Linked DNA regions of Canis lupus familiaris. The protein of the gene in region 2 purifies or fractionates together with the protein of the main gene of each other region. This does not show direct contact. Links are inferred from orthologs where the notes say so. Each region holds a gene or a part of one and is shown on either strand. Other genes may lie near its edges.

Region 1 (3,821 bases), on a different chromosome or scaffold from region 2:
CGAATCCCACGTCGGGCTCCCAGTACATGGAGCCTGCTTCTCCCTCTGCCTATGTCTCTGCCTCTCTCTCTCTCTCTCTCTCTCTCTCTGTGTGACTATCATAAATAAAAAAAAATTTTTTTTTTTTAGATATTATGTATGGGTAATGGGGAACTGGACACTTTGATGGTACAAAGGTGCAAAAAAAGTTTATGCTAAGGGAAAAACATAAATACACATAAGAGGGATAAGCTTTCTCCCGGATTCAAGAATCAATCTTAGTATCTTTAATGGTGACACAAGTCAATTTCATATGCCTCTAGTTATGAGAAAATATGAAATACACAACACCAAAAATGCTGACTTGATCTTGACAAGCCTTTACACCTAATTTCTAATTTACAAAAATAAGCCAAATCTCAGGAAGCAACCAGAACCAGAAGATGGAACATTTTAGAACAACTGGTCCTATCTCTTTAACAAGTCAATATCATGAAGAAAGGAACAATGCTAGATTAAGAGATACCTAAAGGGTACAATAGCCAGGTGTAACACATAGTCCTGCACTGGACCCTGGTTTGAAGAAATCAGGTGAAAAGGACAGTTTCGAAACTAGTGAAGAAGTATGAAAATGGACTAGGGTCTGCACATATTAAAGAAGAACTATTGATTTTGCCAGGGTTTGTACTATGAGATTGTACTATTTTGGCTACCTAATAAATATCCTCACTGTTTTAGATAAGCATACTTACATATTGAGGGGTGGAATGTCATGATATATGTAATTTATTATAAATCCTCCAGCATAATAAAGAATAAAATGAATCAGAATAGGGGGGAAAAAAGCATCATACTAAAGTCACAATGCCTGAAAACAGGAGTGTGGACACCCAACAGAGTAAAAGCTGTCCAATGGATTCCATCTACCACTCTGGGGACCCACCTCTGACAGTTTTCTTCTTCGATATTGGTAAGGCCTGTCACAGAACTGCTCAACTGTTTCCACACTGTGTTCATGTCCCCTGACTCCAGTGCCCTGTTGATTAGGGCCACAGATGACAACATCTCCACGGCAACAGATAGCTCAGGATGGGTGAGGCTATGCTGCACAGAAAGGAGAGGAAAAAAAAGATGAGGACATTCCGGGATACCAAGTGAGGTCAGGACTTCAGTTAAGCCATAAGAAGTCTAAGTTTCTGTTTTTTTGTTTGTTTGTTTTTTTAAAAAAGGCTCTGCCAAGCACACCAAGAAGTAGGTGTTGAGTTCACTTCTGCCCCATTTTGGTCACAAACAGGAGAGGTTCAGCTGACTTACTTCAGGACTCTGTTGCTGCAGGGTAGCCAGCTCTTTCTGATAAAGATCAGCAGCAAAGGGATACACCTGGGGCAGCTGGGCCTCAGGATTCATGAGCTCCAGAACAGTCTTCTCAGCAACACCCTTCTGGATAGCAGCATTGATTGCCGCCACAGCTGCCAACCCTGCACAGAACACAGGTCAGAAATGCAGCTGGCTTGGGAAGCCCTGAGAGGAAAGAGATTCAGTTTTCACAGAAGAAAGTTCTATTCTGCAGATAAACTATAAGCCATGATGTTTGAAGTGGAACTTTCATCTTTAAAAAAAACAGCCTCCCTCTTTGTATGAAGATGAACTGCAGGCTATGCCAACTATATCCCAATAAAGCTATTTTCCACTCCAATTCATCCTGCGACTCTTTCTAAAGCATCTCTCCCATCCCATGTAGCCTGGCGAATCAAGTACCAGCTTCTTAAGCTGCCACAATCTTTCCAAGGGTTTATCTTACACAGCTCAACCCCGAATATCTACAAATATTGTATTCTAACCGCTGTTGCTTCAAAACATCTTTGACCTTTGGCACCTCTGCTCACACCTCCTTTCCTCCCTGCTCAGGTTAGGAACATCCTTCTCTCTCTGCCACCACCCAGATCTTACCAATCAAGCCCTAAGACTCTGCTCCAATGACCAAGTGCTTGCTAGCCAGAGTAAGCCCACACTGACTCCAGTTCTACTCTAAAACTAGGGTAGGGCACCTCTAGTGGCACCTGCTGGTCGATTGTGGCTAGCAGGCTTGGGGTGGGGGTGAGAAGTGACAGGATCTGACCTCAGATGCCCTAGCGACATTAACCCCACACAGTATCTCAGGGAGAGGACTCTTACTTCTTTGATACTGTTGGGCAGTAATGTTTGCAGCATCCACTCCAGACTGGAGCTCCTCCTTCTGCAGGGGATCAGCCTGACCACCCTGAGAAAAGCAAAGAACATTTATGTAAAGATTCTCATGGCTATGCCTCCAGGCCTTACAGTTGTATCTCAATAGCAGTCACAGGGACAAAGTTCGGCCCTAAGTGGATGTGTCAGGCTGCATCAGAGAAAGTGGTAGTCCTAGTGGGAACCAATGCCCTCACCAAATCTGGGGTAGAGGACTTTCCAGATACTAGCACATAAAAAAAAAAAGTTTGTAAGAAGCATCAAAATACTGACGTAAGGGCAGCCCCGGTGGCGCAGCGGTTTAGCGCCGCCTGCAGCCCGGGGCGTGAGCCTGGAGACCCGGGATCGAGTCCCACGTCGGGCTCCCTGCATGGAGCCTGCTTCTCCCTCTGCCTGTGTCTCTGCCTCTCTCTCTAGCTGTGTGAATAAATATGAATAAATAAAAAAAATATAAAAAAAATAAAAAAATAAAAAAAATAAAAAAATATGAATAAATAAATAAAATCTTAAAAAAAAATACTGACATAAGATGTTTACAGCCTCATTAGCACATTAATACTGTTTGCTTTGGCCATAGATACTGGGAATCTGCAAAATGTGCACTTGATGGGCCTTGTTCAGACAAAAAAGAAAGCCATTTGTGTTTGTTCTACCAGCCCCACTAAGTACAATTACACAGTCTGCTCTTACTGCACATTAGTTAAGTACTTTCCCAGTGCTGGCCAGAGGAAACTAGTGATGTGTGTTTTTATGTAGGAAATTCCTGAAGTAAGAATGTAGGAGAGATTCAGGTTTTCCCCCAGGGCTTTTCATTGGAGGGTTAAAAAGGATGCTTCAAGTGAAGGGGTAGTCAGGTTTGGAGGGCAGGTAGTATTTATGTTTAAGAGGGTTTACAGGGACGTCTGGGTGGCTCAGTGGTTGAGTGTCTGCCTTTGGCTCAGGCGTGATCCCGGGGCCCTGGGATCAGGGCCCTGAGATCGAGTCCCACCTGCATCAGGCTCCCTGCAGGAAGCCTGCTTCTCCCTCTGCTTGTGTCTCTCATGAATAAATAAAATCTTAAAAAAAAAAGGTTTACAGCTATAAAAGCAAACAAAAGCTAAAGACAATCTGTATTTTACCTGAGGATATTATAAAAACCTACATTAAGATGCAGAAAGTTATGCTAAAAACTATAGGTTATACTGTAACTATAGGGAAAAGAGATCCCACAAATATGTTTCAGCAAGAACACAAGATTCAAACAGCTGTATGTGAATGCCTGCCAGCCTGACCCACGATCCTCACCTGTCTCTTGTGCTGTCTGTCACTCAGGAGCTGCTTGAGGTACCAGTCCCCGTTTTGCTGCTGCAGCCCTCGAAGGCCCAGGGCTGGTGACTGCAGTGCCCGGAACAAGGCAGGTGCCACACCCTGCTCCAAAGCCAGGTCCACATTTGCTAATGCAGAAGACGCTGAGGAGGGGGAAAGGCCGCAGCTTATGAAGACGTTTTGTGAACATCACAGCTTACATCACTTTCCTTCCCCTAAACCAACCTCAATTTCAGAAGAGCGAAATATAGCTCAGATGGCCTTTGTTCTGGAATATCCCAGAAGCACAAGATCTTGGAATTGGAAGAGAA
Region 2 (2,342 bases):
AGGCAGGCACGATTCTAGAAGGATCTAGGCCGACGGAGCTGTTCCCCTAACTTCTCAGAGGGGAAGGATCAGCTGAGTTCTTGAAGCAGCCTTGCCGTCGGCCCGGGCCTGGGAGGCCAGGCGGCCATGGAACGTGGTCCTGGCGGGTGTTTGTGTGCAGGGGGCACCCTCCCTGCGTGCACGCCTGGCCTCGTGGGGCAGGATTCGGGGCGTTTCTACTGTGAGGGCTCCTCCAGGGACCTGCTCCTTAGCAAGGGGCCCTGGCGGCGGAGGCCCTGGGGCGTCAGGCTCCAGCCCTGCAGGGCCCGCCCGGGCTGCCACACACCCGCTGCACCCTGCTCGGCATCCCAGCTGCCCTGTCCCCCGTCCTCTGCGGCAGGAAGGCCTGCGGATCGCCCGGCAGGGACTGCGGTGTAGACACAGATCCAGGGGTGCAGGATGGGCCGTCCCTGCACATGGTCCCTGCGCGCTGGCTTCCGCCACCATTGTCTCCGAGTCCCCCCGCCCCCCCTGCCCCCCAGCGCTGCGTCCAGGGTGGGAGCCTCGGCCAGGGTGTGTCCCACCCGGTGCTGGCCTGCCCTCCGGCCCTCCTGCCCCCACCCCGCCGCATCTACTCCCTGCCGCCCCGGCACATCCCAGGGTCCCGGGCCCTGTGCACCCGCCTGGCTCTGGGGGGCCTCCTGTGCCTGCCCCTTACTGCTTCCCCCCCTTTGCAGCAGTTTCCCTCCAGCCTCCTGTTCAAGGCCACGGGGACCCGTTACAATGCTCTCTTTATTCGATGCAAACACAAGCGATCAATTGGCTTATGGGTTTCCAGGTCTGTGCACGTAAAGAAGCAGCAGGGAAAGGGGCAGAAAAGGTTAATCTGAACTTTCCCGGAAGTGACTTAATACTTGAACGTTTGGATTCGTGGGTACCCATGTGTGACGTCGAGCTTCCCACGTACTCGGGCTCCACCAACCGCTGCGGGGCAGACCCTGTCTCGGCACAAGCAAGTGAGGAACGACACCTGCGCTTCCCAGACAGGAGGGGAGGCCAGAGGGGCTGTTTGCAGAACACCTGTGTGCGGAGGGGCGTGGACGCCCTGCTGGGAGCCGCGCTCCTGCCTCGGCACCAACGTGTGACCCGGGGCACAGGAGCCCCGCTGAAGGTGGTTAGAATGCGGTGTCGGCCCTGACAGCCGGGAGACCCGCCCCCCCTGCCCCCGCCCAGTGCTGTAGCCCTGTTTGCTGAGCTCCCATGGCTCAGCGGGGACCCGGGGACAGCATGCCCTGGCCGTCTGGCGGCAGGCGTGTCAGGCCACCTCCCGACCCTGGGTTTCCTTCGCACGGATGACAAACCCATTTTAGGAAAAGGCAGGCTTCTCACAGGATACGGGGCGAAGCTGCGTCTCTAACTTGGTACTTTGGACAAGGACCCACGTGCGTCCAGAGCCATCCTTTGGGTCCCGGCAGCTGCGTTGTTGGGGGGGGGGGGTGCGCGGCCCTGACCACGGGCGGAGCACACACCCTCCTGAGGATCGTGACCGCGTCGCACGGACCGTCAGCGGAGGATGGGGGCCCCGAGGTCAGCCCCGGGAAAGGGGGTCGGCGTCTCCTCGACAAAGCACGTCAAGCTTCCTAATCAGCTACACGGCGCCAGGGACTCGGCCCCGCTCCGCTTCCTGCGCGGCTGCGCCTCACTCGTGCTCGAAGAACTCGTGGCAGGCGGTGGTGACCATAGCCACGAAGGCCACGAACTCCTGGAAGTCGCACTCGCCGTCTCCGTCACTGTCCAGTGTCTCCATGACCTTGTCCACGACCTCCTGCTCCTTGATCTCCTACGAGAGAGGACAAATTGCGCCGCCGCTTACGATGAGCCGAGGCCCGCGGCGCGTCCCTGACCCTCGGCCACCGCAGCGACGTGTCCGCAGCAGAGAGAATGTTCACGGGGCGGCAGAGGGGCCGGGGCCCCAGCGTCTCCCCCACCGGACGCTCCCAGAAAGGCACCGTGGGACATGCGGGGTATGTGCCCCCGCCGCCCGCCGTCGCCGGGCTCACATCCAGGGGGCCGCGGAGGATGGCGTCATGGACAGAAGCACGGACTTCTGCTTCTCCCCGAGCTCCTCACTGCGTGTGGAAGTCCTTCCCGCAGGTTTCGGGGTTTTTTTGTTTTTGTTTTTGTTTTTGTTTTTTTTATGATAGGCACACAGTGAGAGAGAGAGAGAGAGGCAGAGACACAGGCAGAGGGAGAAGCAGGCTCCATGCACCGGGAGCCCGACGTGGGATTCGATCCTGGGTCTCCAGGATCGCGCCCTGGGCCAAAGGCAGGCGCTAAACCGCTGCGCCACCCAGGGATCCCCA

The links.
Region 1: the proteins of S100B (region 2) and IQGAP1 purify together in Homo sapiens (co-immunoprecipitation; 3 studies listed by BioGRID and IntAct, with this or other methods). This does not show direct contact. The link is inferred for Canis lupus familiaris from reciprocal best matches to the Homo sapiens genes S100B and IQGAP1.

The regions. Positions count from the first base shown.
Region 1 is NC_049224.1:54,215,650-54,219,470, forward strand, and holds part of IQGAP1 (ras GTPase-activating-like protein IQGAP1), read right to left. Parts: intron 3,654-3,821; coding exon 3,490-3,653; intron 2,240-3,489; coding exon 2,155-2,239; intron 1,458-2,154; coding exon 1,294-1,457; intron 1,084-1,293; coding exon 923-1,083; intron 1-922. UniProt on the Homo sapiens protein: Plays a crucial role in regulating the dynamics and assembly of the actin cytoskeleton.
Region 2 is NC_049252.1:39,767,309-39,769,650, forward strand, and holds the end of S100B (protein S100-B), read right to left. Parts: intron 1,820-2,342; coding exon 1,679-1,819; 3' UTR 733-1,678; downstream 1-732. UniProt on the Homo sapiens protein: Small zinc- and- and calcium-binding protein that is highly expressed in astrocytes and constitutes one of the most abundant soluble proteins in brain.